3 linked regions of the Oryzias latipes genome follow. The protein of the gene in region 1 interacts with the protein of each later gene in a pairwise test. Links are inferred from orthologs where the notes say so. Each region holds a gene or a part of one and is shown in the gene's direction. Other genes may lie near its edges.

What was found. The genes of interacting proteins can lie anywhere in the genome.
Region 2: the proteins of dazap2 (region 1) and stam2 interact in binary tests that used the Homo sapiens proteins (3 or more experiments, as listed by UniProt). The two-hybrid records come from large-scale screens. The link is inferred for Oryzias latipes from reciprocal best matches to the Homo sapiens genes DAZAP2 and STAM2.
Region 3: the proteins of dazap2 (region 1) and stromal membrane-associated protein 2 interact in binary tests that used the Homo sapiens proteins (3 or more experiments, as listed by UniProt). The two-hybrid records come from large-scale screens. The link is inferred for Oryzias latipes from reciprocal best matches to the Homo sapiens genes DAZAP2 and SMAP2.

Annotation. Positions count from the first base shown.
Region 1 is NC_019865.2:22,361,008-22,366,261, reverse strand, and holds the start of dazap2 (DAZ-associated protein 2), read left to right. Parts: upstream 1-1,860; 5' UTR 1,861-2,021; coding exon 2,022-2,034; intron 2,035-5,254. UniProt on the Homo sapiens protein: In unstressed cells, promotes SIAH1-mediated polyubiquitination and degradation of the serine/threonine-protein kinase HIPK2, probably by acting as a loading factor that potentiates complex formation between HIPK2 and ubiquitin ligase SIAH1.
Region 2 is NC_019879.2:4,395,543-4,399,542, reverse strand, and holds part of stam2 (signal transducing adapter molecule 2), read left to right. Parts: coding exon 1-78; intron 79-245; coding exon 246-321; intron 322-827; coding exon 828-923; intron 924-1,166; coding exon 1,167-1,313; intron 1,314-4,000.
Region 3 is NC_019869.2:11,630,668-11,634,055, reverse strand, and holds part of stromal membrane-associated protein 2, read left to right. Parts: intron 1-319; coding exon 320-500; intron 501-599; coding exon 600-1,003; intron 1,004-2,784; coding exon 2,785-2,910; 3' UTR 2,911-3,388.

The DNA of each region.
Region 1 (5,254 bases):
GCATTGCATATTAACCCAAACTCATTTCCTCTCGCCATTTCGCTGCGACGCGGAGGACCGAGCCTGAACACAGCCCCGCTCTATTTTCTCCAACTTACCGCAAAAGCCGCCTGTTCTTCCGCACTCCGCCGCGTTCAAAGGGGCTCCTTGTCGCCGCTTGTTTCAGTCACGCATCATTATAAATTCACCTCAGCTCCCAGACAGGCGCTGTAACTGCACACAAAAGAGAGGCATTTGCATTGATAAGCAGGGCTGCAACGACGGGCTTCTCCCCACTAAATGCAAAGACGACGCCCTCCCCGCGACACTCAAAATGACCGAAAATCCCCCTAGGTGGCTCACTGAGTCCCTTTTTGAGCTGTAAAATTGGACAATTTTGCCCTAAAAGTGCCCTTTTGCACTACGTCATGAACATAATTTATGCAAGGAAAATTCTTGCATTGAAAGATGTCTGCCTCGACTCGAGCGGTGCCATGGTTCCCTTAAAGGGGCCGCGCCTCCTCCCGAAGGCCGCGCGCGGAGTGTGTCACCAACCAAATATTCCCAAAGATGCTTCCCAGAACTCTTCATTCGAGGATTATGTGCAATTTTCCACCGCAAAGAGCCTCCTGAAGTTATGCTTATATATTAATAGTTTGAAACAGGATTAATAATCAGTAGCTGTCATGTGTTTGTCAAAACTCTATTTAGTTTTTTTTTGTGTGCTTTTTGTTGTCTATGTGAATGACAAAAATGATCATTAGTGTTTTAGGGACAATTGGAATTTTAAAAATATATACATTTTATAACTCCTACAAAATAAAAAATACTCATTTGGAATATAGTATAGTGTAGTATAGTATTGTGTTAAATTGCAAGTAAATATTTGAGAGTGTAAAAACAACGTAAACCTAATTAAAGGTCCACTGGGAATGCTTTTACAATATATCAAAAGATTATCGGAGAAGGACTTTAAAGTGGTATTAGGGCTTATTTGGATTTTTAAAAATTAGAATAAAATAGTGTAGGAAGAGGACTGTATGTGTTTTTTCTTCTTTTGTCTTTTTAATGTGTTCATTAGTAGGCCTGCCAAATAAATTTCATATTTATCATTATCGCAATAGCCTGTGCAATATGCGTATTGCTACAGACAGCGTAAATTGCAATAAATAGTTACCTTTAATGTTTACACACATGTGAAAGCAATATTATGGCAGCTTGAAGTGTTTGACAAATGAAATAAAGTCCTTTAACCAATCAGATGGACCTCTTTTATGTTTGATCCCTGCCTCCTGTGTAGACGAGGGTCATTTGGAATATCGTTTAGGTTGCATTGACTTTTATTCAAGTAAAACTTTTGCAGTGAATTGGAAATGATGTATTAGTTATTTTTTTTTATGTAGCGTAAGTCATTTCGTAATTGCAATATTGATCACTTATATTGCACATTGCAAGTTTACTCGTTTCCTCATGCAGCCTTCTTGGTTAGTGTGTTTTTTAAATTATTTAAAGTTTTGGTTAAAGTTTTTGGTTAATTTAAAAACATGTTTTCTTATGAAAAAACAGTTAACTATACACTAAAATGAAAAATTAAAATTCTTAATGTCTACATTTTGATAGCTGTGCTGTCTTTTAATATTTCAAGAATCTAAATGATCAATATCCATTACAATTGTATGAATTAGTTTACTGTTGGCGCCAGTTGACAAAAAAAGTTTTACATCAACTGTAAATTTTACAGTCATCAAACACCAAGTATTTCTTTTATATTTAACCTACAAATAGAAGATGGAGTGATTCATTTTGTTTTTTTAAAACAGTTCCATAGTTCACCAGGTGGCGGCGCGCGAGTGCAGATCAAACTGTGAGCAGTTCGAGCGCAGATAAAGAAAGAATGACGTAACCACTTCCACAACAACAAGAAGCAGAGAAACAAGGAAGTGGATGATTGTGTAAAGCCGTAACCTATAAGAAGGCCGTGACAAGATTCGTTGAGTTCAGTGAAACCAGATATTTTTCAACCTCCGGATCAATCCACAACTATGAATAACAAAGGTATGCCTTCAGACCGCCACCAAATAATTAGCCAGTTGTTCGTTTTAACGACGCTGGCGTTTATATTCAGAGACGGGGAGCTAATCGTTATGGCATCTGATGCGAACTTCACGTTAGCTACGTAGATAACAATACGCTGGCGTCTTCTGGGAAACACCTTCGCCGAACCTAGACTTTTTCCCAAACCGTCAGAAACTGTTAGCAATGTAAATTTAGTGTCACATTGTATTCTTCTGCCGTTTACTAAGCAGGTCACATACTGTCCAGCCAGCTAACATGATTTTAAAGGGGAAGCTCACATGATTTCACTGTTAAGGATCACTGTTTGTTTCCTGCTTTTGTCCATGTAAACATCAGCGCATGATAATTTACGGTAACGTTAGTTAGTTTGGTGGCTATTCCTGTTGGTCGTGAATAAACGCTTATTGTTTTAATATTTAAAAAAATTACATTATTCGACCAATCACCTATGTTTGAGTCCACCTTACTGGAAATGGTGCTAGTTGCTAATTTGGCTATAGTGCTTGTCTTAATGCTAGCTTACTGGAAAAACATCTACGGTTCAAATTCTCAAGTTTAATATAACCTTAAATTATAATTTATGTGGTGAAAAGAGCCAGTTAATGTTTTCAGTTAAAAATACACAACCTTTGCCAATTTTAATTCGAAGATGAAATATTATTTTAAATGGGTTTTGTTTTCTATCAATTAACCATTTTATCAATTTTATAACTCAACTTTTTCTCTTTATTTCTTTTGATTTGGGCAGATTTTTGGATACGTAATTTCTGTAAAAATTGTATTATTAATTACGGCTTGCGTTAAATCCATTTATAAAAATAACATAAGAAATACAGAACAATTAAAATAGAAGTTAAACAAATGGTATAAAATGGTATGAAAACTAATCTACTATACAATGTGAACCTTTAATTTCCCTGGAGCTTTCTGAAACTATCAAGATTTCTTTTTTCTGGCTAATAGACCTGTCATAATTATCACATAATGGCTTAAAGCCCTTTTGTATTAGCTGACCATTTTTCAATATTGTCTCAATAGAATTTCTATTTAGACAAAAATTTGTTTTTTATCTAACAATTTAGATTTTTTTATCCTAAAGAGAATCAATTGGCTATGCAAATGAATCATTTTTTGTATTTTAAGCTCTGTATTTCTGACTTGAATGGGAAATCTTTGCACCAGTTTTTATTAGTGATTTGTATTTTTTATATCGACAAACTAAAATTGTTTCTATTTGTCGCATCTGGAGGTCAGTTATTCCAGGCATTTACCCAAACGAGTAAATCAGCATTTCAGTGACCTTTGGCATCCCAGGTTAATGCATTAGCATGACGAGTGTCTAAGGGGAATTTTTCAAATGCAAGAGTCTTGTCATTTATAGAATGGACTTGCTTGTATAGATCGTTCAGTATTTTTTTTAGGTCCAAATGGTTTGACGGGTAGATTTGAGTCCCACCAGACAGAGTTGAGTCAACTATCAAAACTCTGTTTGCCCATTGATCTCTGTTCCAACTCCCATCTATGGTCTTGAGCTCTGGATATTGACCTGAAGACTGAGACCATGAAAGCAAGCAGCCAGATTTAGCTTCTGCTGAAGGGTGGCTGAGCTTGTTCCTGAGCAGAGGAGGAGGAGGAGTTCTGTCATCCAGGAGATGAGGAAAATAAAGCAAATGGCCTCGCTCTTCTTAGTAGCCAGTTAAAGTGGTCTAGTAATAGTTTGTCTCCCCCCCCCCCCCCCCCTGTAAAAAAAAAAAAAAAGTAGATGGGTGGAGCCTCTGGATTTCATCATAAAACTCCAAGTTTCATGGAGGTAGTGATCCCAAAGATCATTCTTTGCCTGTTAACACCTGCTAACGAACTCAGACTGTCCTGGGTTCCTTCTAAAAGAAAATAACGTTTTGAGGGAATATGTGTTTAAGTAAGCAAATCTACAAACAAAAATTTGTCTTTTCAAGACGTTATCGAGTCGCCAGCATTTTCCCAATCTTTCCTTCTGTTCGCACCCATGTCAACTGGTCTCTTCCTGCAACAGTTCACAGCTCATGTTGGTGCAAGACTTTCCTCCGGCTTGACTTCTAGTCCTCCTCTGAATATCATGTGTTTTGAGTTTTTGACAAGTTTGTGGCAGTTTTCTTATGAAGGAGAACTAATGTAATAAAAAAATCATTTCACTTTTGTATTTGTCCTTTTAAATCGCTGTCAATCAAACTGCTGCAAAGACTCTCTGTTAGAATAAATTAGCTTTTGTGATGTCACAACGGCCCAGGAGCACATTGTTGTGCATATAAAAGGAAAAGCCTTTAGCCAATTACAACTAGCTTGGCGGAGAAAGTGAGGCTGCGTGTGTGTGTTTGCCTGGGGGCGGAGCTGGCAGTGCAGACTGTTCCTAGAAGGGGCTGTTCCTCACTTTGTGACATCACAATGTGAGAACCCAATCGTTTTTGTGGACTGGGAGGGGCTGGTGCTCAGAGAGCAGGTTTTTACAGGAATGCTCAGAAATTCATAAATGGGTCAAATTACCACTTTGGGGGTTCTTTTTTGCAAGGAATGAACATTATAATACACTTTGAAGCTCAAAATTTTGATTTTTGCCTGGTATAGGCCCTTTAGATTCAGGGCTCAGTGTTGTCTGGCATCTTAGAAAAACAAAATAGTTGCTTTGTCTCATTTTTGTAGGTATTTGTTATATTGTAGTTTGTCTTCTATACAGATGTCTCTCTGAAATTTCCCTTTTTTCTTGCTTTGCTCGAAGATTTAAAGTTTTAAAATAATTTAAACAATACACATTGACAAGGAACGAGAGATTCAGATAAAAAATATTTATAAAAATAATGATTTCTACATTAAAAAAAAGATAATTTATGAGGATTTTCTGTTAAAATCATATTAACAATCAAGGATGCAGAGATATACATTACGATTCGATCCAAACCTTTATTTTTGAGCCATGGTTTTGATTTGGTTTGATATTTAGATTTTGTATTACAAAGCAAGCAAAAACTACAAATGAAAAAAAAAAAAGATTTTTAATTTGCTAATAAGCCAGTAACAATGAAAGAAAACCCCTTTAGTTGGCTCATACTAAGACTGGTGCAATGTAATAAAACAAGAAATTATAGATCCTTCTTAAATTTAGCACAACACGTGTCTGACACACTGGTATGCAGGTGGGACGCACCGGTTTGATTCCCCACTACTC
Region 2 (4,000 bases), on another chromosome or scaffold:
AACCAATGAAAACAACACAACAGATGACTGGGCGCTTATTCTGGACATCTGTGATAAGATTGGAACGACATCCAATGGGTAAACTGCAAGAATTTGTGTTTATTTTGTAATAAGTATGCGTTTAAAAATTTCTAATTATTCAATAACTAACTGTACACATATATTTAAGTGTATAGCATTAATTGTGTGTGTATATATATATATATATATATATATATATATAATCCTGTTTTTCCCTGGTATAGAGCAAAAGACAGCTTAAAATCCATAATGAAGAGAGTCAACCACAAAGTGCCTCATGTCGCCATGCAAGCCCTCAATGTGAGTTGGTTATGAATTTTAAATAATAAAAGAAAATTACCGACACAATTCAAAAGTGGGATTATTTTATGTGTTATATTTGTGTGTGTGATTTACTTGGGATAGTCAGGGTGACAGTTTCATATTTGTGGAATTATAAACTAATATTTAGGTGATACAATATTTCCAAAATACAACACCAATTGTAAAAATAGGCTAACTTCAACCACAGTTTCAATAATGCATTTTTTTGGTCAAGTTTTGCTGATTTTAATTCAAACTAATCAAGTGTTGACTATTCAAAAGACATTCAGTAAGCTTGAAGGATATTAGTCGTAAGGAGGAAAATGGTTCTAGGTTTAGATCTGTTTTCACACACTTAAACAACAGCAGGACAAGTAGCATTTAAATCTAATTTGAACTGAAAAAATACTTTCTTTGTACGGGAAAACCTGTTTTTAAATGAGACTGTAATGCAGATGTCCTGTGTAGTAGAAAACACTGAAATGTTGTCTTTTCCCTCACAGTTGCTCGGCGCTTGTGTTTCAAACTGTGGCAAAATATTTCATTTGGAAATTTGCTCAAGAGATTTTGCCAGTGAAGTGAGATCTGTTTTAAGCAGAGTGAGTCCTTTTTTCTCCTATTTTTATTAAAATTTATGTGCTATTTATCTTTTATTTATTCCTTTATAATAGAATCAACAGTCATGTTGGCCCTTAAACGTCTTAAAAGATTAAATAAAAAGTAGATGTGTTTAATTTTTTTAAACGTCTTTAAAACTTTGAACTGTTTTGGAACTCTGCTTTGAAAGAAAAATGATGATTTCCTTCTGGGTGTGATATATTTGTGTTTTCTGTCCACTGCAGGCCCATCCTAAAGTCTGCGAAAGGTTGAAGGCCCTGATGGTAGAGTGGGCAGAGGACTTTCAGAAGGATCCGCAGCTCAGCCTGATTAGTGCTACTATAAAGTCCCTCAAAGAAGAGGGTATCACCTTCCCCACCGCGTCATCACAGGTGTGTTGGACTCATTCAAACAATGAGCTTTTGCTCCAAAGGTTTTACATCCTCCTTTATGTGAAAGAGGTCAGGCTATAGTCCCACTTAAACATGAGGGTGGCTTTTATAAAGTTTCTGGTATATTTACAGTACACCACACTGAGACTCAGCTGTGATGCAGATTTTTGTTTTAATGTTCTACTGTCATTTTGTGTTTTAGCTGAAGGGAGAAATCCTCCAAGTAGCCCCTCTCAAGCCAGTCTTTTCCTCTAAATTCAGACTTGGCTTCGTGCAATGGTAGCGTCATATATTTTTAGTACAAGGAGCTAAAATATATTCGCAGTTGTTTCTTTAGATCAGGGGTGGGCAATTTTTTTGACTGGCGGGCCACACGGGGTTCTCAAATTGGATAGAAGGGCCGGACCAGGAGCAGATGCGTGGAGTGACAAAGAAATAACATGGAATCTGGATGAAAACATTTGGATTGGAAATTATATTTTAAAAACTGCGTTCTCATTTTAGAGCCAATTGCACCAACGGCTTGATGTACCTCGTGTAAAACTTAAGAGAAATGCTGCGTTCATGTGGTGTTTGAATAATAGGAAGAATAAAAAACAACAAATCTTCCAACACCACATGGATGCCAAAGCGGGGCCCCAAACAATAACTCTGTTTCTTTAAAACTCTTAACTTCTTTTATCTTTCTTTTATTGTAAAGCCCTAAACTAAAGTTTTCTTAAATCATGATCCTTTTAATAAAATAAATAACACTATTTATGAAATAAAAAAAGACCAAATAACTGTGATTTTCAAAGACAAAAAGTCAGGAAAAAATATACTGATGCATTAAAAAGAAAAACCAATGGATCCTCTGGATGGATCCAGTGGATCCTCTGCCGTCATTTTCCCGCTGAGATGTTGATGGCTGCAGCTCCTCACACGTCTCACAGTTTGCGCTGAAACTGAACAGCTGTGTCCTGCACGTCTGTTTGGCGTCCAGTAATAATGAAAAAAGCACATTTCTATGTCTTCTGCTGCAGCTACGCATATATCTGTGTTACCTTTTCACCAGTACAGAGTTCCGTTGTTTGTTGCAGGAGTTACGTTCTAAAAATAACCCGTGATCAGTGAAATCCACAGAGTATACACTTTTCTCAGACAGAACATTTTCACCCTTTTCTCTTGTTTCAATTCTCAAACCTTCATAGAAATTAAGTCCAGGATCTTAGAATGAAAACAAAGATCTGATCGATCCCAGATTTCTGATCTGAAGAGCTCCACGTTTCTGTACAGGAGACACACGGAGGAGATTGATTGACAGGGTCTCCAGCCAATCAGGACACAGAACAGGATGCGCTGTTTTAAAAAACAGCAGCATAATCGCTCTAAAAGAACGATTAAAACCGGGAAAGATGAACTACGACGTAGAAAGGGAAGACTGTCTCTGTTCTGTTTGACAGATTTTAGAGGGTTTCAGGTTGGAGCACAGACTGCAAAAGGGGGGGAATAAAATGTCACGTTCTATGCGCGTCTTGATCGTGTTGCCAGATAAAAATAAATAAACATGGTTCTCTGATATTGTTCAGTGGGCCGGACCAAACATGAAGGCGGGCCGCAGTTTGCCCACCCCTGCTTTAGATGGTTTTCAACTCCTAATAAATGAGTGTGGACCTCAGAAATATTGATGCATTAATTGCTCCTTCTGTCACTGCCTAAAGGTCTGGACTGAATTTAATGAAAGCTTTAGAAGCTATTAGGCAAACGCAAACTTTACTTTAAATTATATTCAAAATATGTTCGTAAAAATCCTGGGATGTATTTTAGTGTCACAATAAATCGTCCTCTAGCTTTTGTTTGTACCTTTTTATTTCTTTCCTAATTGGTTAGGTAACTGGATATTCGTCACGAGTGTTTGTGGACTTTACTCTTAAGATTGTTTTGAAGCAACCGGCCCACATATGCGTCATCTGTGTTGCTGCCCTGTAGAAAAAAGAGTTAAAGGCCCGCTCCAATCATCCTTTGATCTGTTTTAAAAGCTTCTCCAGTTGTCTTTTAGTTATGATAATGTCCTTGTTTGCCAAAATGACAGTTTCTGCAGAGCCGCAAGAGTTCATTAGAAATTCACCTCTGAGGTTTGCTTGAAGATTGTTGGCGCGAAATAACCCTGCCCCCACTTCCCATCACCCATCTGCTTACTCTCTCCGGCTAACTTACAGCCTCTCAGCCCCAACCTAACATTGCCGGTGCAACAAAAGTGGCGAGCAATATTGTAGCTATCCAGCTGTACAGTTTTAAGCCAGAGAAATGTATAAATAGTCAGAAATGCGATTTTAAGTTTAATTTTCTTAATATATGTCTGCCATCATCATAAAAATGCTACAAGAACATATTCATTAACACCAAAATCATATGTTTTTATCAGACTGGGTCTTCAATAAGTGTCTTTGTGCTGTACAAATCATTTGAAGTATTTTTCATTGTTTTGCCACCAGCTGTGCATCATATGCTTGTTGTAATGTTCTGCACTATGTGTTGTGAGAAAGGGTAAGCGGATTTGCCTCACTCTAGGGCTGGTGACACACGAAGCAGCGGGGATGACATTTAACGGGCATCTTCTCATAAGCAAATAGCAGGAGGCAGTGGGAACTCAAGCTGTCGCAGCATTTACTTTGACCCGTCCTCTTTTCTGAAGATAAATGTCAGTT
Region 3 (3,388 bases), on another chromosome or scaffold:
TTTAAAAATGCTTCTCTTGAAATGGCAGCTTTCATAAGGTCAGAAAGGCATAGAAAAAAAAATCAAGGCATGATTAGTATTTAATAGAACACTCTAAATTGGCTAAAAAGTCTGGCTTTATCCTTTTGCTTAAGGATAAGTCTCTGTGTCTACAAACAGGATCTGAACTCAAATAGAACTTTGGATGTCAAAATATTATAGCAAAACATGAATTCAGTTCTAAAAGTTTCCTAAATACTATAAGCGGAACTTTTATGATGTTTTGATTCTGACAATCTCTCTCTTTATTTGTGTCCTATCTGTTCATCCTGTCCTGCAGCCAGTTTCTGGCTCCATGCCTCAGAGTAGAGTGACTGCCTCAGTGCCTGAAAACCTCAGTTTATTTTTGGACCCCAAACCCAAATCGAATGAAGGAACTGTCAAGAAACTGTCCAAGGATTCTATTCTGTCCCTGTATGCCTCCACTCCCTCAGTGCATGCCAGCAGCGTGGCTGCACCTGGTGAGAACTCTCGCAGACTCTCGAAAGATATGTTCATGGTGAATACCAGGTGTGATTTGTTGGTTATTAACTGCCGACACTGTCTGTGATCATTTTTAGGTGGATTGTACATGAACCAGATGGGATACCCGACACATCCGTATGGTCCATACCATTCTTTGGCCCAGGTGGGAGGACTAGGAGGCACCATGATGACATCACAAATGGCCGTGATGGGACAGCAGCCAAGCAGCATTATAGGGGTTCAACAAAACAACCTGGTTGGAGTCCAGCAGAACTGTGTGATGGGACAGCAGAACGGACTAGTGGGTGCTCATTGTGTCCTGCCACAGTCCAGTGGTGTGGTTGCATCACCTTACGTGGCAGGAATGAGCCAGGGCATGATGGGACAGCAGCAAAGCGCAATGGTGGCTCAGCAACAGGCTGGAGGCTTAGCAACATTACCGCACCAACACGTTTATGGCATGCAACAGATGCAACAGGTTCAGTGGAATGTTGCCCAGGTGTGTACTAAAAGCATTAAGAAAGAAAATATGCTGCGCAAACTGGGCAAGCTTCCTGCTCCGCTCCATTCTGATGCATCCACTCTCAGACGACTAGATCCATGTACGTCTTTGTTTTCCTTGTCTGAGTTGGAATCTGGGAACTGTACGGCTGGGTAGCTCGGAAAAGTTTTGCCATTTTTTGTTGCACCGGTATTGTTAGGTTGGAGGTGTGAGGGGCTGTAAGCTGTTGCTTACACCCATCACTCAGAGGCAAATTTCTAGTGAACTTCTGCCGCTCTGCAGAAACTACGTCCTGGAAAACACCTGGTTATGATTCAGGCTAAAAACGGCATAACGATAAAGAAAAGACTACTGGGAACAGAAGACAATCAGAGTGGGACCCAAGTGTGAATGTGCGTGTTTGGGCCTGCAATGGTCCTGCAAACCGTTCAGTGTGTACCCCACCTTCACTCAACAGTGTCTGAATGAAGCCCAACAACCCTGTGACCCTGACCAGGACTGGGCAGGTTGAGAAGATGAATGAATAACAACAGAACAACTTAAATGTAATACAAAATACATTTGAAAAACCTGACACAAGCAACAACAAATGGGTGGTGAAACAGGGGAGCAACAGGGTTTGGTAGCAATGAACAACTACAAAACCATGAAAAACACCTATGGGTAATAACAGAAACAACTCAGGACAATGAAAACTAATATGTGACTAGAGAAAAATATATAACATAATATGAAAACAAGGTTCCCACGTCGCCTGCCCTTTTGTTGAAGTGCCCTTGGGCAAGACACTGAACCCCACAGCTCCTGGTGTTTCTAGGCAGGCGCCTGTTTTAGGCAGCGGAGCCGGCATCAGGGCGTTAAAGAGACTGTGACTGTAAAGCGCTTTGGGCCTTCTAAGAAGATAGTAAAGTGCTGTATAAGTACACACCATTTACCGTTTTTGTCAAAGAACTTTGTTTTGTTTTTCTACACATCACCAGTGAGTTCAAAAACCTGAAGCATTTAAACTTTCCAAAACAGAGCTCGATTATAACCCTTGTGCTATCCTAGGCACTTTGACGTGGGGAGTTGGGTCATATAGACCCACTAGACAATGCTCTGAACCTTTTTTCTTCAATGATTTGTGATTTTCACTGGTGTCCATGGATTACATGTAATCTTTCCACCTTTATCCACCTTTGTCATGGTAGGGAGAACACGTCAAAGTAAGGGTGGGGTCATCTAATATAGCACAAGGGTTAAAATAAGTATCTAATCTAGGAAAAGTTCCCTCAAATAGACAAGTCATTCCTCTTTATCAAACAGAACCTCTCAAATTTTGCACTAATCAGAGACGTTGGCCTGTGTCAGGTTGATATTACAGACAAATCATGCATTTTGTTGTACAAGCAACAAATTTGTTATGGATGTGCCTTCAGAAAAAGTACATTTGCAATGAGAAAAATTCAAAATGGCGGCCATTTGTTAGGATGGCAGCCATACACTTAATTGCTACAAAATATTCAATGTCTGTTTGCCCATTCTCAGTAAAGTGGGCTGTTTATGTCTAAAATGCAGTCTTTAAACTTGATGCGTATGTATATTATATATATTTTAAAATGTTGGATTTTCTCGTGGCTAACAATAAACTTTCTAAAAGAGGGGATCCTAATGTACGTCCATGCCAAATTTGGTGCTAGTACCACAACATTTTAACAACCGGCTCCCCTATAATTAGCAGAAATGCGATTGCTCTGATAATGTTTTAGTCATAACAAGGTTTATTTGTGACTTTTCAGATGACGCCGCACATGGCTGGAATGAATCTCTACAGCAGCAATGAGGGGGTGGGATACGGCACTCAGCACATGGGCAGCTCATCGACGCCAAGCTCAGCACACATGACAGCACATGTCTGGAAATGATCGCTGTCCATCCAACACCACACAACCGTCGGATCAAACTCATCCTGGAAGACTAGTTTCTAGTGCAGGAGAGGAAGGGAAGAGTTTTTTCTCTCCCCTGCCCAATGCTTCCTCTTGGCATATCACCCATAGCCATATTCTACAGATTCCCATGTTTGCCTTCAGGACATTTTTGTATTCTGGCCAAGACAACAGGGTTTAGTGGCATCTGGTTAAAACTCCAAATCTTTCTTTCTGTCAAACTTGTAACAAGCAGATGCTTTGAGTTTGGAGTTCAAATGCTTTTTTTTTTTTTTAACCTAGCTCCACCATCTCTACAAATGATTAAAAACAAGGACCCTAAAGATAGCCTTGTATGTAACAGGCTTTATGGATCACAATAAAATAACGATGCACTACCTAGGTCTCCAATAACGTTTGCCTAAAAAAAAAAGTGAGTTTTATAACAAAGTACACCAACAGCTTAATCGGATTTTAA